4 linked regions of the Arabidopsis thaliana genome follow. The protein of the gene in region 1 interacts with the protein of each later gene in a pairwise test. Each region holds a gene or a part of one and is shown on either strand. Other genes may lie near its edges.

What was found.
Region 2: the proteins of SUT2 (region 1) and AT2G04050 interact in a protein complementation assay, tested with the Arabidopsis thaliana proteins (one large-scale study listed by BioGRID).
Region 3: the proteins of SUT2 (region 1) and NIP7;1 interact in a protein complementation assay, tested with the Arabidopsis thaliana proteins (one large-scale study listed by BioGRID).
Region 4: the proteins of SUT2 (region 1) and MEMB12 interact in a protein complementation assay, tested with the Arabidopsis thaliana proteins (one large-scale study listed by BioGRID).

What each region holds. Positions count from the first base shown.
Region 1 is NC_003071.7:827,208-834,616, reverse strand, and holds SUT2 (sucrose transporter 2), read left to right. Parts: upstream 1-1,997; 5' UTR 1,998-2,320; coding exon 2,321-2,587; intron 2,588-3,095; coding exon 3,096-3,161; intron 3,162-3,308; coding exon 3,309-3,407; intron 3,408-3,508; coding exon 3,509-3,573; intron 3,574-3,666; coding exon 3,667-3,751; intron 3,752-3,843; coding exon 3,844-3,877; intron 3,878-3,986; coding exon 3,987-4,086; intron 4,087-4,191; coding exon 4,192-4,267; intron 4,268-4,550; coding exon 4,551-4,889; intron 4,890-5,017; coding exon 5,018-5,161; intron 5,162-5,258; coding exon 5,259-5,492; intron 5,493-5,583; coding exon 5,584-5,647; intron 5,648-5,743; coding exon 5,744-5,787; intron 5,788-5,903; coding exon 5,904-6,071; 3' UTR 6,072-6,338; downstream 6,339-7,409. Other genes in the region: ARPN (plantacyanin), read left to right, coding at 6,897-7,086. UniProt on the Arabidopsis thaliana protein: Responsible for the transport of sucrose into the cell, with the concomitant uptake of protons (symport system). Can also transport maltose at a lesser rate. May also transport biotin.
Region 2 is NC_003071.7:1,336,155-1,341,740, forward strand, and holds AT2G04050 (MATE efflux family protein), read right to left. Parts: upstream 3,315-5,586; 5' UTR 3,117-3,314; coding exon 2,871-3,116; intron 2,780-2,870; coding exon 2,235-2,779; intron 2,140-2,234; coding exon 2,053-2,139; intron 1,968-2,052; coding exon 1,911-1,967; intron 1,835-1,910; coding exon 1,390-1,834; intron 1,283-1,389; coding exon 1,232-1,282; 3' UTR 1,026-1,231; downstream 1-1,025. Other genes in the region: DTX1 (MATE efflux family protein), read right to left, coding at 81-326.
Region 3 is NC_003074.8:1,840,154-1,845,208, forward strand, and holds NIP7;1 (NOD26-like intrinsic protein 7;1), read right to left. Parts: upstream 3,044-5,055; 5' UTR 2,782-3,043; coding exon 2,641-2,781; intron 2,559-2,640; exon of another isoform or gene 2,465-2,558; coding exon 2,240-2,464; intron 2,143-2,239; exon of another isoform or gene 2,127-2,142; coding exon of another isoform or gene 2,004-2,126; coding exon 1,806-2,003; intron 1,599-1,805; coding exon 1,537-1,598; intron 1,437-1,536; coding exon 1,235-1,436; 3' UTR 1,015-1,234; downstream 1-1,014. Other genes in the region: AT3G06090 (uncharacterized protein), read left to right, coding at 620-859; MKP2 (MAPK phosphatase 2), read left to right, coding at 3,364-3,453, 3,565-3,700, 3,784-3,904, 4,268-4,424. UniProt on the Arabidopsis thaliana protein: Aquaporins facilitate the transport of water and small neutral solutes across cell membranes.
Region 4 is NC_003076.8:20,536,609-20,541,415, forward strand, and holds MEMB12 (membrin 12), read right to left. Parts: upstream 2,389-4,807; 5' UTR 2,248-2,388; intron 1,952-2,247; exon of another isoform or gene 1,923-1,951; 5' UTR 1,845-1,922; coding exon 1,618-1,844; intron 1,543-1,617; coding exon 1,272-1,542; intron 1,198-1,271; coding exon 1,036-1,197; 3' UTR 818-1,035; downstream 1-817. Other genes in the region: AT5G50443 (uncharacterized protein), read left to right, coding at 3,929-4,134, 4,231-4,276. UniProt on the Arabidopsis thaliana protein: Involved in transport of proteins from the cis/medial-Golgi to the trans-Golgi network.

The sequences.
Region 1 (7,409 bases):
ACAGAGAACGACAAAATTGCCAACCAATCACTAAGTTAGAAAATTAAATTTATTGTAATAACGCATCTCTTTTTTTTTTTTTAAACATATAGTTTTTATATTATTAATATTTGAATTTGTCGTTTGAGAAATGACGAAGGAGTTATTTTCAGGCGTAAGCATTTGACGTGCTCGACGTTAAGGAGATGACGTGTTAAGTTATGGTACATATGTTTTTTTCTCTTTTATTTGGGTCATAGCCGCGTTCAACACGTGCTTTTTGTCAAATGTAATTACATGATTAAACTAAAAAAACTTATTACTGTTTTTCAATCAACTTATTAACCTTGATCTTTTTTATAACAAAATAAAAATAAAAATTGGCACATGATCAAATCATCAATCTCAAATAAGATAAAACCAAAGGTGTAATAAGGTTCATTTTTTTGTGGAGAAACCGAGTCAATGCTACCAAATTGCCTATATAGGCTTGAATTTTATGTAAATGCTTTTTTGAATGGAATAATCCGATTTTTTATTTTATTTTTTCTTATGTAAAATTATAACATGGTATAGATAAAAAATTTGTTTTGTAATAAGTGATATTTGGTCTAACGGCGCGTATGTATAGTTCTTTTACAAAAGTGAGTAATAGTGGTTTTCTGGTTCAAATACTATTGAGAATGGTATCAGTTTTGATGGACAACAAGTGTATGAGACTCGGCTATAACTTCTCAATTAACCATTAACCATTAAAGAATACAAAATTTGGATTTTCGACTATACTTTGGTTCGGATACATCATACATGCATGCACACCATAACAACTAAACTCAAAAGGATTTGTTTTTGAACTTTTGATGATAAGAAAAAGAAAAAAAAGATGGGACATAAGAGTCATGTACACGTGGATAAGGAAAGGAGAAGAGAGGGACAAGGGAAGAGATGGAGAAAGAGAGACGTAAGTATTAATTCAATTGTGTGCCCTATTAGCTTTCATTTTCCACAAGCAAGAATAATATTAATAATTATGTATCATCTTTGCATTTTTGTACCAATACATGATACATTTGTTAGGCACACGTCTTTTTCCTTTTTCCTCCTTTTTATTTCTAACTTTCTTCCTTTTATTCGTTTAATCCGGCTCTATCACGTTAACACACATATATGTTATATCATCTTTTTACAAACATGTTTACATTAGTTATTAGAAAATACATATACTTGTAATAGTGACATTGGTAAGAAGAACTCTATCACCTTCACAATCACACACATATATGTTATATAATCTTTTTACAAACATGTTTACATTAGTTATTAGAAAATACATATACTTGTAAATAGTGACATTGGTAAGAAGAAAAAAACACTATTAAATAGTGAAAAAATGTTTATAACTCTCTTAATTAACATTACTTATTATTGCTAGCACCTAAAATCTCCCACAAAATATTTGTTGTAAAACACAAATTTACAAAATGATTTTGTTTTTAAATTAGTAACACATGTTCATATATACGTTAATAAGAACATACCCTATATGATTTTATATAAAAAAATTTCTTTGAGACGTCTTATCCTTTTTTCTTTAATAATATGCAATTGTGAGAGTTTGGATTTGAATGGTAGCATTAGAAGCAAACTTGAACCAAACATATTTCATGAAGTCAAACTTGAACCAATGTAATCACTAATCACAGTGTTCGCAGTGTAAGGCATCAGAAAATAGAAGAAGGGACATAGCTATGAATCATATAATCTTGACACATGTTTTATAGGTTTTAGGTGTGTATGCTAACAAAAAATGAGACAGCTTTCTTCTAATAGACTTAATATTTGGGCTAAATGTACCACAGTTGTGAATTTCTTACAAAAATGGGCCGAGCTACAAAAAACTACAGGCCCACTCTCAACTCTTATCAAACGACACCGTTTTACTTTTTTAAAAGCACACACTTTTTGTTTGGTGTCGGTGACGGTGAGTTTCGTCCGCTCTTCCTTTAAATTGAAGCAACGGTTTTGATCCGATCAAATCCAACGGTGCTGATTACACAAAGCCCGAGACGAAAACGTTGACTATTAAGTTAGGTTTTAATCTCATCCGTTAATCTACAAATCAACGGTTCCCTGTAAAACGAATCTTCCTTCCTTCTTCACTTCCGCGTCTTCTCTCTCAATCACCTCAAAAAAATCGATTTCATCAAAATATTCACCCGCCCGAATTTGACTCTCCGATCATCGTCTCCGAATCTAGATCGACGAGATCAAAACCCTAGAAATCTAAATCGGAATGAGAAATTGATTTTGATACGAATTAGGGATCTGTGTGTTGAGGACGATGAGTGACTCGGTGTCGATCTCGGTTCCGTATAGGAATTTGAGGAAGGAAATTGAACTTGAGACGGTCACCAAGCATCGTCAAAACGAATCTGGTTCTTCGTCGTTCTCTGAATCTGCTTCTCCTTCGAATCATTCTGATTCGGCTGATGGTGAATCTGTGTCGAAGAATTGTAGTTTAGTGACGTTGGTTCTTAGTTGTACAGTTGCCGCTGGAGTTCAATTTGGTTGGGCATTGCAACTTTCTCTTCTTACTCCTTATATTCAGGTACTTACTATTACTCTTGTCATTGTTACCATTTCTATCACTTGTGGCTTTCTCTATAGCAATTTAGATTCGAGGGTTTTGTTCTTGTGTAGCTTTGTACGAGAAAGTCGAGTACTTTGTAGGTGAATCAATGAATTCTAATACTTAGGTTAGGTAGTTGTTGTCACCAACATAGCCATGAGATATTTTCGTATGGAACTCTATAGCATTGGCTTATCGAAGAGTATATGACATTGGAATTTAGCTAGATTGTTTATGTTCATTGGATTACATAAGCATTTGTAAAAATATAAAAGACCTTAGCCTTTTTCGGAACTATTGTATAATCAGAGATTAGACTGTGTTTAGAATAGTATTGTACTGGTCATATATGTATCAGGTGGGTAGTTATGGTGGTAGATAGAACTATTGTTAAATATCTGTTTGCTGGAAGTATTTTGATTTTCTTGTTGCTGAAGAACCCTTTTGAGTTTTATCTAACAGTGTTGCATTTGGTTGGTTGATGCAGACCCTTGGAATATCGCATGCTTTTTCTTCGTTTATTTGGCTGTGCGGCCCAATTACAGGCCTTGTGGTAGGTTAAAAGTTTCTTTAAGAATTTTAGCAGTTTTACTATCTTGCACGTAATGATCTCACGAGAGTTCAAGTTTTGATTTATATTGGATCAGAAACTATTTTTCTGCCCCATTTTGTTCATACTTATTTGTTTGTTGGGTTTTAGGTCCAGCCTTTTGTTGGCATTTGGAGTGATAAATGTACTTCAAAGTATGGAAGAAGACGACCATTTATTCTAGTTGGATCATTCATGATCTCAATAGCAGTAAGTGCCAATAGAAGATATGATTTCTGTTTTGATTTTCTTTTAGGAGATAGCTGGCTACATTGTGTTTTATATAAGCTAAACAAAAGCTTGCAATTTAGGTGATAATAATCGGATTTTCTGCAGACATTGGGTATCTGTTAGGAGATTCAAAGGAACATTGCAGGTAACTCTCCTGCTCCCCTGCCAATGGCATGTTTTTTATGGAATGTATCAAAATTAAAGTAACTGACGACTTGATGTGTATCTTGAAATGCAGTACTTTCAAAGGCACACGAACCAGGGCAGCTGTTGTCTTTATCATTGGGTTTTGGTTGTTGGATCTAGCAAACAATACAGTACAGGTTCAGATCTGCCTCTGCAATGTACTTGAGTGAATGGTACTAGTCATTACCTCTGTATCCAGGAATGATGTTTTCGGCTTTTTTATTTTCAGGGACCTGCTCGTGCTCTTCTAGCTGATCTATCAGGTAATAATGGAATATAACCATACACTTAACAGAACAGAATTTCTATTCAAACTCTAGAATCAGATTGAATATGCTGTGCTTCTAATGAGATGTCTCTTGCTGTCCCTAGGTCCTGATCAGCGGAATACTGCAAATGCTGTGTTCTGCTTGTGGATGGCTATTGGGAACATCCTTGGGTTTTCTGCCGGTGCTAGCGGAAAATGGCAAGAGTAATCTTTGAGATCCTTATTCTCAAAATCTTGTATTCTTTTTCCTCATTTGCAATTTTGCATTTTCCGCCAGCTGTTAAATGATCAGGCAATTTTACTGCGCAGATGGTTCCCTTTTTTAACTAGTAGAGCATGTTGTGCTGCATGTGGAAATCTCAAAGCAGCGTTTCTTCTTGCAGTGGTAAGCAGTATGTTTAATTTTCTGACACATGCATCTTACTAAGCTTTCTAAATTGCAATGGAATGGGCTGGTCTTTACGAAACACTCTCACGTTTGTACATTGTGACTTGTGATTCATATATGTCGCAAATCAATGCGTTCTGTTTGTATGTCTATATTATTTTTGAGGTGATTTTGAAAGTGAAATTATATTATTGCACCCAGTGGCTTTTGTTCTTGTTTCATAGTCTAAAATCTGAATATATTGTTCTATATGTTTTAAGAGTTTAAATCATTTTTTCAGGTCTTTCTCACTATATGTACTCTTGTCACAATCTATTTTGCTAAAGAGATTCCTTTTACAAGCAACAAGCCCACCCGCATACAAGATTCTGCACCTTTGTTGGATGATCTCCAGTCCAAAGGCCTTGAGCATTCAAAATTAAATAATGGTACTGCCAATGGAATCAAGTATGAGAGAGTGGAACGTGATACGGATGAACAGTTTGGCAATTCAGAGAATGAGCATCAAGATGAGACCTACGTTGATGGCCCTGGATCTGTTTTAGTGAATTTGCTAACTAGTTTAAGGCATTTGCCACCGGCTATGCACTCAGTTCTTATCGTCATGGCTCTTACATGGGTGAGTGCCAAAGAAAAATTATGATCAGTTATTACATATTTCACACTGTTTCTTTTCTTAAACTCTTTAATGATCTTTAAAATTATTTGCTTCTGTTATATTTTTGATTGTGGTCTTGTTCTTTGCAGTTATCCTGGTTCCCCTTCTTTCTGTTCGATACAGATTGGATGGGAAGAGAAGTTTACCATGGGGATCCAACAGGAGATAGTTTGCATATGGAACTCTATGATCAAGGTGTACGTGAAGGTGCACTTGGTTTGCTACTAAACTCTGTAAGAATCGTTATAATAACCTGTTTTTTAACTGCACTGCTCTTCAAAATTCAATTACTCGCCCGTTATTGAATATTCTTCTTCCCTGTTTCCGTAGGTTGTTCTTGGGATCAGCTCATTTCTCATTGAACCAATGTGTCAGCGGATGGGTGCTCGGGTTGTATGGGCTTTGAGCAATTTTACTGTATTTGCCTGCATGGCGGGAACAGCTGTAATCAGCTTGATGTCTCTCAGTGATGACAAAAATGGAATTGAATACATAATGCGTGGAAACGAAACAACAAGAACCGCAGCCGTAATCGTTTTTGCACTCCTTGGTTTTCCCCTAGCTGTATGTGCTTTCTTTCAACCGTAATTCTCTTTATTCTTTTCGTGTTGCAACATTTCTCTAAAATATGTGATAAAACCATTCTTTAATGCAGATCACATACAGTGTCCCTTTCTCTGTCACAGCAGAAGTCACTGCTGATTCCGGTGGCGGTCAAGGTCTGTGAAAAGATTCATATCTTCACTATATTCATAGTTTTTGTACTTAAATCTTAGATTTCAGTAATCCCTAATGGTTTCATTTCCTCACTCCAGGTTTGGCTATAGGAGTGTTGAATCTCGCAATCGTTATTCCCCAGGCAATCTCTCAAATCTAATTACACTGATAAATTTCATTCTCTTGTATAATGCCACTCACTTCGAGTGTAGTCTTGACCCGTAAATAGTGTCTGAATATGGTTTTGGCTCTAAACAGATGATAGTATCACTTGGAGCGGGTCCATGGGATCAATTGTTTGGAGGAGGAAACTTACCGGCGTTTGTTTTGGCGTCTGTTGCTGCTTTCGCTGCTGGAGTTATTGCATTGCAAAGGCTTCCCACGCTATCGAGTTCTTTCAAGTCCACCGGTTTCCACATCGGCTAAAATCTTTATACCACAGACATAAAATTCACAGTTAGATCTACCCGATTCTTTTTGACCACGTTCTCCTCTCGGCGTATATGTAAGTAGGTTTTGTACATCTAGTTTTCTTATATGTTATACACAGCAATGTGACTCTAAATTTACAGTACCTCTCTTCTCACGTAGAATATATCTTCGTTATTTTGAATCACTTTATATTTGTGTGTTCCTTTCCTCACAAATAGAAACTTGAAGCAACATATTCCAAACTCAATAGTCCAATCTAATAACACAATACTGTTGGTTCTTTAACCTATGATGTGTACGTTTTCCCAACATTACCATACTAATATAACAAAGCATTTCAATAAGAACACAAATTCAAACCTATTTTCGCCTATAAACTATGTACTAAAATCATAACCAAACTATATCTCCAATAGAAACAATGTGTCCATAAATAATAAATGCTCATATATCGTGGGTTGTTGATGACATAGTCTTTGTCCACAAGTTCCTTATTTAGTTGATATAAGCATTTTCAAAACAAAGAAACAAAATTCAACTTAGTGTAACAATGTCAAAACCAAACTCTTATCTTCAATAATGAGACAAAAGAAACCGAAGTTAAGTCTATAATCAATTTCTACATAGACAATGTGGCCAAAAATAATAAATGAACATATATCATGGGTTGTTGAGACACCCAATTTAATAAAATAAAAACATTGAATGTCTTATTTTCTTCTTCTTTAAAAACCCTTTGTACATTTACTCTTCAATTCATCCTCATTTACTCTCTATAGTTTCTCTCTCTTTCTCTAAACTTTCACCTAAGATCGATCAATGGCCAAGGGAAGAGGCAGTGCATCATGGTCGGCTCGAGCCATAGTGACTCTCATGGCTGTGTCAGTGTTGTTGCTTCAAGCTGACTACGTTCAAGCTGCAACGTACACGGTCGGTGACTCTGGTATCTGGACCTTTAACGCTGTGGGTTGGCCTAAAGGCAAACACTTTAGAGCCGGCGACGTTCTTGGTATATACTTCACATCCTTTTAATCAAGCTTCAGTAATTATTATACTATCTTGTTACACTTAAACCACAAGCAGTTAAGCTTTCTAATCTTCATATCCACTAGGGATGTATCCATATCATGGCTGCTTCTAAGTATGGGCAAGATGTGCTTTTGTATAAAGCACACGACAAATAAAAAACTTCCTATAGTTTAAAGGTTACAAATATGATTGATAAATGTTTTGCATACACAGTTTAAATAGTGTATATCTTTTACATGATTGAGCCTGTGATATATTTTACTATATTATAGATATGTATGTATACATCTTCCTTCTCCAAAA
Region 2 (5,586 bases), 510 kb from region 1:
AAATAATTGAAGTGTTTTCAATACTTGAGAGAGTCCATTTGATTCTTGAGTTGAAAAGGTTAGAGTCATAGCATAATTACCATAATGCTAAAACCGGTGACGTTTGTGAAGGAGTTTGCAAGAGCGACACCGGAGAGCTGGAGCTCGCCGTTGTGGCCAGCGACCATGACCGAGATGACAGGCAATAAGTACTGAGCAATGGTCACAGTGGCCATAGGAGCGGCCAAGCGGCTCACTCTCTTTAGCTCGACGGTTAATGGATTTGTATGCCATGTGACTTGAGAAGGGACTAGAAGCTCGTCTCTCAGAAGAAATGGCTCCTCCATTGTTTAACGTTGAAGGCCTTTCCCTTTGATTTTAAGATGATATTTATCCTATCTTTATAGACCGACTAAGTCAATAAACAACAAAGGCAACTTGAACTACAAACGTGGTGACGAAGTAGATATGATGAGTAAAGAAGCAAATTCGTTTTGACTTGTTTGAAAATATAGATACTAGTGGCACACGAATATACTATATTATAAAAATAGATATATAGAATATACATATTAAAAATGACATGTCATTAGTGTTAATACTTTTTAATTATTTACATAAGAACATATGTGAAGACTGAAGACTAATATGAATTATTTTGTTTTGTAGAGTTTGAACATTCAATCTTGTATTAATTACTTTTGTGGATTTTTATATTTTTATATAGTCCTAAAGTTTGACTCTAATTTAAGTAATTTGCTTACCTTAAGTTTTGATTCTTTAGACCACTTTAAAGACATTTGGATCTGATTTTACACAGGTTTTAGTAAATCATTTGTGGTTGAAACTAAAAGTGACAGCCGCTCTCAAGTAGAATCCAAAGTTTCGTCAGAGATTTGTCGTGAAGGTCCGAGTTTCAAAATCTGAATAGTATTGTATTATGAGCCTAAAAGCTCTCTCGGAAAGGGTTCACTAAGATTTATTGGTAGAAGATTGTGGTTATAGTCACAAATACCATAAAATAAATTTATTGGGAATGACATGTGAAAAAATTAAGAAAAGCATGTTTATGGATAAATGATGATTATACACTTACAAGTTACACAACATAGTGAAAAAGATAGGCTGAGAAAAAATCATACATATAAATTATTTTGTAAGAACATTTTTTAACACATTAATATACCATACATAAAAATTTGCTCAACACCTACAAAAATAGTTTGAGATAGCTCTCAGAAACATCCTTAGTTTAAGCCAATCTATTTTCACTAGAGACCATTCTCTTCCTAGCCTTCTCAGCCTGCAAATCATAGATTAAAATTACTTCATAGTATTAAAGAAAGAACAAAAAAGAATGTACAAGTATAACATGCTAAAATGACGAATCTTCTATTCTAAGTGTTTTACCTGTTCCTTCCAATTTATGGAAGCTGTGACAAAAGCCAATATTATGGCTTGCACAGCGGATCCGACCACAACACCACACCAAAGTCCTTTTCCGTTCAACTCACGATTGAAAGCTAAGTATACTCCAACAGGAGCTCCTACAAGATAATAAGCTACCACGTTGTTCAAAGCTCCAATGTGTTGCCAACCACTTCCCCTTGCAACCCCATTCAGAACTGCTGTGAAACCGTCGAGGATAAAGGAGAGGCAGAGCAAAGGAGTTAGGTTAGCCACATAGTCCACAACTTCTTTGCTGTTGCTGAATGCGTAGCCTATAATGTTTCGGCATGTGAAGAGAAGTGTGCTAAAGAAAGCTGACTCTACAAGCCAGAGACAAAGCCCTGCCAATACTGAAACCCTAGCAACTTGAGGAATCCCAGCTCCCAATTTGTTTGACACGCGTGTGCTGCAAGAAACCAAATGACTATTATTGTTTAGGAAGAAGATGTTGAATATGTTTGGTTAAAAATTTGAGTTCATACCTCACAGCCGCCGCGACTCCACCTGGAATCACATAGTGCAAACTTGCTGTTGTAAGACTTGCATTAAAGAAATAAGATTCATTAGTTTTTAGTAAAGAGGATAATAAAAATAAAAAGAAGTCGTTATATGATATATATTTACCAAATTGAAAGAACAGAGGTCTCGAGTTTCGGGTTTGGGAGAAGACCTGAACAGAGTATGAGTAGCTCAAATAGCCACCATTCTAGGCTATTAAAGGAAGACCAAGAAAACGCAAGCAAGATAAAAAAAAGCATTGGTTGTTGTATGTAACTTGACCAACAAGAAACTTAAAAACGACTTACCAAACCATTGCCGCTGATGGGACTCCGAAGTGGAAGAACTGCTTGATACAAGACACGAAATCACTGGATACAAATACGCGAGTCTTGTCGCAGGAGCTGGAGTACCTCACATAACATGAGAGAATCACAACATAGAACCAGAAAGACACACTAATAGCCATGGCAGCTCCATTGCTTCCCAGACCAAACGCGTAAACAAAAGCCCAGCAAACAGGGATGTGGAACAAAAGAGTGGTCAGGGTACAGTAGAGCAGTGGAAGAACCAACCCTTGTGCTAGCAGAAACCGAGTCAGTGGGATGAAAAACGCATGGGCGAACAAAGCCGGTATGAGCCACAAGGCATAGGAGCCAGCGACTCTAGAGATGTCAGGGTCTTGACCGAGAGAGATTAAGAGCTTTTCGATGTAAATCCAGAGAACTGATATGAGGACACATATAGGGATGTTAGAGGCAGTTGCAGAGTATGTGTAGGTTCCGATTTTTTCGTATTGTTTGGCTCCATAAGCTTGGCCACAAAGAGTTTCTAGTGCACCCGCTAACCCAAACTGCACAAAGAATTAATATAGTGTTATCAAGATTTGAGAGGCAACTTGATCTTGAACTTAAGAGGAGAGAGTAGTTATAGCATATCATTACCAAAATACTGAACCCGGAAACGTTTGTGAAGGAGGTTGCAAGAGCGACGCCGGAGAGCTGGAGCTCACCATTGTGGCCAGCGACCATGACTGAAATGACAGGCAATAAGTACTGAGCAATGGTCACGGCGGCCATAGGAGCGGCCAAGCTGCTCACTTTCTTCAGCTCGACGGTAACCTGACCACTTTTCCATGTGTCTTTACAGGGGACAAGGTGCTCATCTTGCAGAAGAAAGGGCTCTTCCATTGTTGTCCTTCCTAATGTTGAAAGCCGTGTGCGTATAATCTCTGATGTTATTCTTCTTATCTTTTATAGACAGACAACGAAAACCAATGTTTAGACTTTTCTTTTTGGAAATTTGTGGGACTAGAATATTGAATTTACACGACTCTTAGCTCAACCAGTAAAAGGTATTCTATATTTTCCACCGAAGATACTCAAAAAAGTATATTATTATGTCTACACGTTAAAGTATAAAAGTATAGTAGTTTTTCGCAATGACGTTGTATAGTTTCTTCTCTTTAGTGGACGTTGTGGTCAACAGTCATCCAATAGGATAATAAGGAAGTGCATGAACAAGAAATATACTTGGGGACCAAGTTCGTATAATCAATGACTAAACAACAAAACAACTCGAAAAAGATTACTTGGGAATCAAGTTCTAATATTCAGAGATTGACAATTTATCAAAAAAAATAATTTTGAACAAAAAGAATTTGTTTTAAATAGCAACTACACAGTGCAAACACGTGACTCACAACAACAGCATCCTTACCGTGAGCCATTAAAGTATTTGAGAGCAACTTCATCGCGAGTTTTTTTAACAAGGGTTCTCACAATTTCACAAAAGCGGCATTCTAAAGAGGGCAAAACCGCTGTTTGTTTGGATCCCCATTTCGAATTGGGCTGGGCAGCCTTTGGCCCACTAATAAATTTACCACGGCCTAAAGCTAATGCTAATGGGTAGGCCTATTTACCAATTTGGTCCAGGTCTGTTTTTCTTTCTTCCTTGTCAAACACTAGATATCTGATGGCAGGGTTATGGTTTTGAGATTGGTCGTGGACTCCTTTCTCTCATCACGTTGACACCTATAGATAGTCTAGACAAGGTGCTTTTATTAACCTTGGTGGTAGATCTTAGTGCCTTAAAGAGCAGCTCATACTATTCATATAAGTCTAAGAATTTTATGATAGAATCATCCTCTTTTATAGAGAGAACTTTTGAATCATCCTCTTTTATAGAACGAACTTTTGGTTTGTCTCCGACTTTAAGTTTGCAAAACCATTTGGATACCTTAATCACCTTTGTAGAAGCTGCGTGTTTCGAGCCATTGTTATCCAAGGTTAAAGACTCTTTATCAACGTCACTATGTCTCGTTTGGACCGTGACCATTCAACAATCTCCCAAAATATTCGTGTAATTGTCTTCGACTCACCATTCTCTCGCTTGTAGCAAGTTACTACATTGTTCTTGTCTTCGATGTATGGATCTACCGTCAAATTATCTTATATCATTTTCCTTTACCATTCTCTTGTGAGAGAACTTGTGGTTTTCTTTGATGTTTCCAACCATGAGGTTGATGTTTGTTTAAAATTTGTACTACATATGGGTTAAGTTTGAATGAAATTATCTTTTGCACAAAAAAAGGGTTTTGACCATTAAAAACTAAATATTAAAAAGTAAGAAAAGAGAGAGAGGTATAATTTAGTATTAGGTTCAAATTTGAGAGTCGGGTGAACCTTTAATACTTGTAGTTTTATTAGTGGGTCTAATTGTATTAAAAAATGCAATATAATTATAAATTTTTTTAATTATTAGTGGTCTAATGCTCTACAAGACTTTTTCATTCTAATATATATATATATATACTAGAAAGTTATCCAAACGATGCGTGAATTGTATATTTGGTTTTAGTTTTGAATATAGAATGATATTAACATTAAATTATATATAATATTTTTTTATAATTGTTAATATATCGATAGAAATTATTAGAAGTAATAATTTTGATGTTTACAAATTATGATATGTTTAATGAAGACATTTTACTTGATTAAAAGTTTTCAATGCACTATATTTTGGCTCTTTTTGTGTGAAATTGATATGTTTTATTATAAATTAAAACTTAATATATTCAATATTACCTTTTTTTTGGGGTGAAATGGAAATGCATGTATTACAAACATATGATTTAAACCTTCACAATTAAAATTTTTAAAGCTTATGATATAAGATGATTTTCAATGGAAAATCCTCCAACTTGACTAAAGATCTCATAATGTCGGTTCAAAAGAAAAAACAAGTTATATAAAATCTGATAAATGTACTGAAAACGTTATGTCGCTATCGAGTTACCAATTGACCAACAATACTTTATGTAAATGGAAGATAAAGAAATATTTTCTTTAAGAATTTAAAACAATAAAAAGAAATTGATTTTATATGGATATAATAAAATTAGGAATTTAAAGTTAAAATATCTTATTATTGAGTTATTTCCTTAAATTTGATTTGTATATAATAAAAAAAAAAGTTAAGAGCGGATAAAAAATTTGTCACTTTGAAGGTTTTTTACCGCATTTTTTTCTCAAAAGTTATGTTAAAACAATTAATATGTAGCATGTACAATACTACATGTGATACATGATTTTGAATTATAAAAGTAATATCTTTTCATAATGGTTATTTGCTTTCAACAGTTTAAGATTATTGTTA
Region 3 (5,055 bases), on another chromosome or scaffold:
TGACAACGTAGCAAACGGATCTCGTTGTTCAGCTTTGATTTGATCAATTAAAGTGCTTGCAATTGCGTTTGAGTTTTGCATTACGAAATCAACAACTTTAAAGGTTTGCTTTAGAATTTGCGATTTTGACAAAAAAGATTATAATATACAATCTTCTGGTACTTTTCAAAAGGAAAATTTAGAACACTTTTACTCAAGTCTCAAGTTAGTGAGTATCCTCGCATCTAAATGATTTAGTTTCTTCTAATGATCGAACAATTTCTCGAGAGCACCATCTAAATCTGAATACATTTAGTTGGAATGAATCATATTTGATCTAAAACACATGGTTTAAATTTCTGCAAGACCGCAACCAGACTCAGACATATCATGATTTAATGAAATTTACTTTAATTCTTAAATTAGAAGTTCTGAAATAGCATTAAATACAAAGTAGCAACCTAAACCTTACTATTCGTAGACTGTTTACTCACTCAGTCAATAAACATTTGAACCGTTTAACTAATTATGCATTAGCTCTCATAGAACAAAAGACCAAAAATCTATAAACATGCATATATACACGAATACGAATCAATGTTGAGAATCTATAGTTTAAGTAGTAGTCGACACTAAGAACATGAAGATGAAGAAGCTTCTTAAAGTTGTGTTTCTCTTGGTCGCTTACTTAACTTGTTCCATTGCCATGGCTAGTTACCATGGTTGTAACAGGGTTGCAGAGAAGGCAACGAGAATGAATGTAGTCGGAGAAGATTCAAGAAATGAGTTTGGAAACTACGAGGAGAAGAAGAAGAAGGCGAATTTGTGGTCAGGTCGAAAGTTAGCTTCTGGTCCAAGTCGTAGAGGTTGTGGCCACTAAATTTTTAGTTGGGGTAATAATTTAAGATATTTAATTTCATTTCTCTAATTTATGTTTGTTGGTATCGTTTAGTAATATGAGTATTTTAGTGGGTTCTTATAACCTAATGAAAGGATTTGAATATTCATACGAATTTCGCTTCACTATAAAATATATGTGACTAAAGATTTTTAATTGCGTTCATTTCATTGTGTAAAAAGAACAAAATGCCCCCTGTTTTCATTTGCTTTACCCTCTATATCTTCAATCCGATAAGTAGCTCTCTGTTTTCGCATCACGGCATCTAATGACGTAATGACAAAAACTTAAAAACCTTAACCAAGAAAAAAAATCAAAAGTGTTTATTTGTATAATAGATATTAGGTTTTGAAGTGATTAACGTAAAAGTGAAGAAACGGAAGGGGAAACTGGAGAAGGGCAAGGCCTGGTTTTTAGGCTAATTGATCTGTATGTCAAAACTCCGATTATGGCTCCGATCACCGGAGCTGTCATGTAAATCCATAAGTCTTCAAAATCCCATGCCACCACCGCCGGTCCAAGTGATCGAGCTGGGTTCATCGATCCTCCTGAAATCGGTCTAACCATACCATATTCCACAAAACGTTAGCATTATACGATCACATGAAATAACTATTTTCCAATACTTTACGGTGATAATGGAGTTTTAAGTTAAGTACCCGGTAATAAGCACTCCAAGGGAAATGACTGTTCCAATCACGAACCCCGTCAAATTACCCAACTGCACAAAATAACATATAAAATTAAATGCATATAAGTTTTCTAATCAGAGAGTTTGATTTTTTTTATTTTCTCTTTGGAAAGAAATAAAATTTCATAATTAAGAAATAGCATGTAAATGTCACATTTTAGGTGTTATTCTTATTAGAAGATATTTTTTTATAACAAGCGGACTAGAGGAGTAACGAAGATCGATTTGGTCACTTACATTTTGATGAGGACCACAATGCAACGCGGAGGCGAGAAACACGACGATGCTCGTAGCTATGAGTTCAACGAAAAATGCAGAAACGCAGCTTAAAGCAGGTTTTGTTGCCATAATGTCAGCGTTTACTCCGTACACTGACACCCCAACTAATGTTGCCGCCGTTGCCCCCAATGTTTGCGCCGTTATATACAACGGAACCTGGCATGTGACACAACATTCCAAAAAAGAATTTTCAGTTTTCATAAAAAATAATTTGTAAACGTCCAAACAAAAGATTAAGTTTTCTCGTCTCATCTTCGTTGATAAATGAAAAAAACACATTATTTGATCTTGGTCTAAACGCTAAGATAAACAAAAACAAACGATCAAGACCAAGATAATTCAACTACAATTCTTAGTTGGTCAAACGCCGTGTTGAGATGGATGCATTATACCTGAGACCACGGGAATCCGCCAAAGACAGCGAAAGCAATGGTGATGGAAGGGTTAAGATGGGCGCCAGAGATGTGTCCGATGGAGTAAACTACGACCACCACAGATAATCCAGCGGTGACGGCGTACTCTAGCAATCCCACGTGGCCGCCGGATAATTGGGTACTGCTTATGACCCCACACACACTGAACATTAGAATGAATGTCCCCACCAATTCCGCCATTACCTAAACATTAGTCCGGAGATACTATTAATTAGCATTTTATTTCTATACAAACATTTTAATATTTTCAAAAAAATTATTTGTAATTATGGACATAGCCAATTCTTTAGTTTAACACAAAAGTATTGTGAGATATTAATCTTGTTGATTCTATGATTTTGTGTATATATGAAGCTTACAATGCGTAGGGGATTGAGATCTATATCATAAGGGAGACATCCGAAAAGCCTTTGTCTCGAGGGATGATCTTCATCTCTCAAAGTAGATGGAGTTGAGCCAGCTTCTTGGTCGACTACTCTTGACCGTGCCTCACCATTCATCTTCTTAATTCCTTCAAGATATAGTGATCAAGAACTGAGGAAAGTCACAATCAAGGTGGCTTGATCCGCTTTATGAATGATCTAATGGAACAAAAAAAGAGAGATAGAGAGAAAAACGCAAAGAAGATGGAAATTAAAGAGTAATTATTTTATTTCAACAAAAAGAAGAATTAGTAGAGTGCTGCTATATTCCTTTGGTTAAGCAGTCTGAAAGGAGAAGAGGGTGCTCAACACTTTTCTTGTGTTCAATTTTCACTTCCTACCTACCAATATTTCTTAATGTTAATTTGGTGATTTCTAAGTCATCTATTTATTTTAATCATCTTCATTTCATGTGTAAAAAGGTTGACTCTCTTAAATCTTTTCACTTAAAAAAACAAACAAATTGTTGCACCAGCCGGGAATCGAACCCGGGTCTGTACCGTGGCAGGGTTCTATTCTACCACTAGACCACTGGTGCTTATTGATTCATCTATCCGAACTAAACTATTAAATATTAATTACGAATCTAGGGTTATTTATCTTTCTGATTAAGAGTTTTCGTCTGTACAAGTGGAATTTTGAAAAAAGAAGCAGAGAGCGATGGAGAAAGTGGTTGATCTCTTCGGAGTCGGAGAAGCTAATTCCCAGAAGCTACTCGAAGGAGGCAAAGATCTCAGCGAGATCCAACAGGTTTTCTTCGTTTCTCTTCTCTATCTATCCGTCTAATTTCACACTTGGAATTTCTCAGGTTTTGGAGTCTTTAATTCCGAAAAATCGTTTGTTGGATGAGTTTATTCTCAGGGATTGTTCATAGGATCAGTAGCTGAAGCGAATAACAAGGATTTTCTCAAAAGCTCTAATATCACTCATGTCTTAACCGTTGCTGTGGCCTTGGCTCCTCCTTATCCTGATGATTTTGTCTACAAAGTCATTGAAGGTTGGGTTTTTTTTCTTCAATCCTTAGCCTGTTTTTGAAATTTTTCGTTTAGAGATTTTATAAACTTGTTCTTCATCGTGTAGTGGTTGATAGATCCGAGACCGATTTGACAGTATATTTCGATGAGTGTTATAGCTTCATCGACCAAGCTATTCAATCTGGTGGTGGTGTTTTGGTTCATTGCTTCATGGGAATGTCTAGGAGGTTTTGATTCTTTTGCCCTTAAATCTCATACATTCAGTTATTAGATTTAGTGTTTAAGAATCATCAATGTGAACCAATTGCAAATTATGTAACCATATCAAAAAAGTGTATATAAATTGCCAACTGAGTAACCATAGGAAACTACAGAGACTCAGATTGGCAAAAGTGTATATGAATCTTGTAGTTTGCTTTGATTCTTTTATAGCTTGCTGATTCTGGTATTAGTAGGAGTTATGGTAGTGAACAGATTACATTTTGTTGTGGACAAATTAAGAGTTTTTCTTGAACCTGTAATTTGCTTATTGTGTCGTTCTGTTATATATATACTTACACAATTTGATTGGTTTGAGTTTTTCTTTGAAGTGTGACTATAGTGGTGGCTTACCTGATGAAAAAGCATGGAATGGGATTCTCTAAAGCTATGGAACTTGTAAGGAGCCGACGACATCAGGCATATCCTAATCCCGGTTTCATTTCGCAGCTCCAGCAATTTGAAAAATCCATCCAAGGTAATGCATGATTGCTTCAGCTGATAAGAAGATTCAAGATAGTGGCATGATGAACTCTCATGAAATTCCGGCAAGTGTCTTCAGCCCCATGTTGGCCAAAAAAGTTGATTGGTTTCGTGCTGTGAAGGATTTTTTCTTGTGAACTATTGATGGTGAGCACTTTGCCATGTCCATTAGCCAATTGAAATGAATGAAAACGCAGAATTTACATTTCCTCTGTTACTACAATGAATATATTTTCTAGGAGGATCAGTGTGAATTTAACCAAACCAATCCCATACCCAAACCAGACTGAAAATTGGTTGGTTTGGTTTTCGACCCTTGCATTGAATGTTAACCGATATCTTGATCGAACGTGAGTTTTTTTTTTTTTTTTTCTTGTTTCATTGCCTTGTCGATCAATATTGTATATAACGTGATAGACCATGAACAAATTGAATATCGAAGTAGGAGTTAGATTTCTTTACTCGTAATTAAATGGGGCATGCACCTTGCATGTCTTATACGTATTGTAGCCTAACATTTGCGGCTACAAACATTTGTCACCAACATTTTCATTCCAGCTGCTTCCACAGTTTTGGGACTTCGGAGATAATGTATATGTGGATATGCATATATGAACCATAAAAATAAACGTTTGTC
Region 4 (4,807 bases), on another chromosome or scaffold:
CAAATTGATACACACACACAAAAAAAGATCACCGTTCAACAAAATTGCCTAAACCCATGAAATTGTGATGAAAACAAAAAAAAAAACTTAAAATTCCAATTAAACAAAACAAACATACACACAAATATTTTGCAATCAGATAAAATTCCAAAACATATCAAAGAATATTCCCTAAAGATCCCTATTGATTTTGAGTCAATCAAGTTAATGAAATCTAAGAAAATCAGAAGAAAGAAAGAAAATAATCGGCGTACCAGTTTGATCAAAGTTTCGTTATTGGATGACCAAGTATAAATCAAAAACACAGGGAAGTGAAATCGTGACAAGGTAAGAGCAGATCCAAGGAAAGAATTGTGAAAATCGGAATCGATCAGGAGCTGGAGCTAATTTGAGATTCTCTTTCTCCGTGTGTGTTTCTCGTTGATTGATGATCAAATCATTCGTTTCTCATATTTCGACGCGGTACAGAGACAAGGAGAGAGGAAAGAGAGAGTGTCGAAATATCAAAAGGAGATTGGTTTTCCTTTAACCGGATCAAAATTATTCCAGTTGAGTCGGTTCTGTATTTAATTATAATTATCCTATCCCGGTTCGGTATTTGTCATAATCAGACCTTTGGGGAATTGACTATTTTGGTCAAAAAAAAACATTGACCATTAATACAATGATGCTAAAGTCAACTGTTTCGAATCACTTTAAATATGAACTGTCTTGAAGCTCATGTTAGTCGCCGAAGCAATGACCCAAACAAATGTAGTAGCTTCTGTGTTAAACAACGATTGCAGTCTCGGAGAAGTTTTGAACAAGTTCTCTTACACTGCGAGCAATACATCATTCTCGGATATAGGAGGAACACATCAAAAGTTGGGGAAGAAAAGTTGGCATAAATCGAGAGCATACTAGACGCAAATGAAATGGAGAATATGTGTACTAGTGTTTTGAAAATGTCTTGTAAGAGGTATAAACAAAACAAAAAAACGTGTTACAAAACTCTCTCCATACAATCTATGGTAATGTAATTAAAGTTCTCTGGTTCTAGCGTGTCCATCTTATGAAGAGATACAATATGACAAGCGTTGCGATCATACCCGCATATTTAATCCAGGTATCAACACGATTACGCCTCTCAATGAGCCTCAATACAGAGTTAGAGAGCCCAACAGTGTTCAGAACATCCAAAGCCTTCCTCTGCGCACTCTGAGAATTCAAAAACCCAATGTTAAAAAACTGTTTTCTTCATTGACTTAAAGCTTAAGTTAGGGTTTGGTTACCTTCAAACGATCCCTTTGTTCAGCATATTTAGAGAGAATAGCAACTCCACTTTGAAACGAATCTTCAAGCATTCTCTTTGAATTCTTAACAGAGTTCATTCCTTGAGCCTCCTCATCAAATATTTGCAAAATGTGAGCTCCTTCTCCACTCCCTCTACCTAACAAATCCGCTCTCTCTTTAGCTTCCAACATCTTCCTCTGATTCCTCCACATGTACTTCTCTAGACTTTGGTTCAAATACTCAGCCTCTTCTCCTACTTGTTCACTCTTCCTACAGCAAAAAAAATCCAAATGCTCAAGAGTTTAACCACTACTTCAGCTATTTTGATGATCTAAACTTCCTCACCTTCTCCAAAGATCACGCTGGGATTTGACAGGGATCGAACGCCAGAGACCGTCCATATTGGAACAAAGAGATTGAACCTCGGTAATGTCTCGTTTCACGGAGGAGGCGAGGTCGGTAGGATCAGAGTCGAACCTCTCCAACTTCTCGATTCCATTCCGAGCTCTTAGTAGAATCCTTTTTGCACTACTATATACCTCAGACAACCCTCCCACTGTCCCAGACGCCATTATACAAACCACAAAGTGACCAAGAACACCGCAGAATCTTCTTCTCTTTGCTGAATTATATCAATATCAACTTCTAATCTGGAACATATATACAAAAACATATTTAAACCAGTTTACTCAAGAATTAATAGTAATCTACATGACATTGACCTATAATTTGGCTCTTAAGTAAAACTTGAATCAAAAGTTAAGCACCTTTCAACAAGATTTGCATAAAACTTAAAATCTAATCCAGACAAATCACTCGATCACGAACCAGCAATTCGATCAAAATCCTAGAAATTATGTTAAGAAAACATCTAATCGGCAATTCATTTGATTCGATCGACTGAAACCAAGAAATTCAACAAAATCGCATTGAGAGAAATCTAAGAAAAGCTTTAGAAAAAATTTATCCGTGTACCAGTTCAATGGAGGCTTGCTTGGGTTTGGAATTTGAATTTGTTACACAAAGCAATTCGTGACCAGATCCGAGGAAAGTTTGTGAAAATCGGATGAGAAATTCTGCGAGGGATTAAAAAAGAATAGCAAGGAGTTGGTTTACTTAAACCGGGAACAAATCCCAATTAAGCAGACGCGCTTGGCTGGTTCTGTTTACAATTCGGTTTTGTAAACAAACACAAGAAATGTAACAAATTAATCAAAGAAAAAAAATGTTCTAAAAATCACGATATTTTTTTTGTTTCTAGTAATCACAATGGTTTCTCCCTTTTCATAAATGGCAAATCTCCCATAAAACCATCTTTTGTATTTTCTATTTTTTCATGGTTATTTTCCTTTATAAAAAAAAAGGGATATCATATGTACATTGTATGGTTTTTAGTATTCTCATAAAATAAAATGTCTTTTGAATTTAAAAGAAAAGAAAAACACTAAATATGAGTTCAGATTTATGAGCTAATTCTAAAAACACTAAAAAATCCGGCCGGTAATTTGAGTTCAAAAACACTAAAAACACTAAATATGAGCTCAGAAAAGAAAAACAATTCGACCGGTAATTTGAACAAAAATAAATAAATCCGAACGATAAAAAATTAAGGAATTGCTAATTAGCCTCTACGGGATCATTGGGGGATTGACACTATCATGGTCAAAGATTGATCAAACAAGCTGTCCATATAATGGTTTGATTAACATAGTTATTACTCCAGCAAGATTTAGCTTAAATACGATTTTTAGGTGTGTATATTTTAAAGTTCTTTTGTTTACATCATAACGTTCTCATAAAAAGTGGATATAAAAAAAAAAGTATATATATATATATATATATATATATATATAAGTTTCACTTTTTCAAAATTGTGCCAGTTGTAAAAGAAACGCAGCCCATGCTAATGAAAAAGTTCCAAGGTATAGTAGTAGTAGCTTCACCTAAAACAATTTGACAAAGATATATTCTTTTTATTATTTATTAGTTTCCGATTTTAATGCAAATAATTATTGAAAATTTGTATTAGTTTACATTGTTAAAAATATGTTTGATTAGAAGAAGATCTTAAATTTTATAAAACTTTCTCTAGTACGTAAAACTCAAACTCTCAAATATATGAAAATTTTGTTTTGCAATTTTCCCATGCAAGTGACTCAAGTCCCAAATATTTGACTGTCTTCTTCTCGCTCGTCCAGTCGTCCCTATAAAGCTTGTTAGGAAAACAAAAATAAAAATGAATGAAAATAATGTTGATGCCTTAGCAATTAGCATAGAGACAAAACACAGCCTGTTAATGTTTTACCTGCAACTTTTGAGATCTCATGAAGTTGGATTTACTAATATTGGTAAACACATAAATAAACGTGTATACATGTGCTTGTATGAAAGTGAGGACACTCTCAACATCAGTGAATGTTCCATAAATTAGTTGATTAAGATAAAAAAAATATCTCAGCATCTGAAATAAATGATTCGGAGAAGAAAAATTAATTCACGTGATCAGATCTCAAAAAAAGTCGCAGGACAATACATACATATCTTACAAAGCCAACAAGCTTTACAAGTTGTCTTTCTCTATCTCCTTCTCTTTAAGACTTTAACTCATCATATTTCTACCTAAAAGTTTTCTCAAGACCTAAAAGAGAATTCACAAATGAAGAGATTCCATCCATCAAGATCGATCTCAATAGCTCTGTTTCTGGTTTTGTTAGCTTTCTTTAGCAGCAAGTTTCACATAGAGGGACATAGAGATTTGAGAGATTTGCAAATAAGCAAAGAGATGAAGCAGAAGTCTCTTGGAGGTGAAGGAGATAGCTTACGGAAAATCCCGAGGAGTCGCTATAGCCCCATACAGAACAAGTAAGTACACGATCAAATATTTTCCAATCTTTTCACACACAAAAAAAACTAAATTATTTGAGATTTTGACATCAAGATTGTGTATTTTTGTACCAGGAGAGGTCCAAGTAGGAAACATCAGATCACATCACATGAACCATAGATTTCATCTCTAGTTTTTTATTTAGATCTTCTGATTTTTTGTATTTTTTTTTTGTTGTAGAATAGTATTGCCTACACTTGTTTGTGAATGCAGCAATGTAGAGTTTGATACTGTTACTATTCTTAGAATGTTTTTTTCTTTTCTTACTGGAAAGTCTTACTCTGATACTGTTCTATTGAGTCAAGGCTCTTTGTTTAGACCTCTAAGGAGTGTTTATTGGATTTTGTAGATTTTGCAACATCTTGAAGCTTATATTTGTATTTATTACTTGACTTTGTATCTGTTGTTTCACCGCATTTGTTCTTCCTCTGTTTTGTTCGATTTTCATCATGTATCTGCTCGTCTTGATTTCAACTGATCAGATTCTGTTGTCATAACAACAACAAAGAAATGGTATTGTAGGGTTTCAAATGAATGAAGTTAATAACATATATATCACCTCTCACAAAATGCCCTCGATGTAAAAAGAAACATGCACAAGAAAACTTGAGAAATTTCTTGAAGGATCAAACTAAATTAGTTACCGAGTAA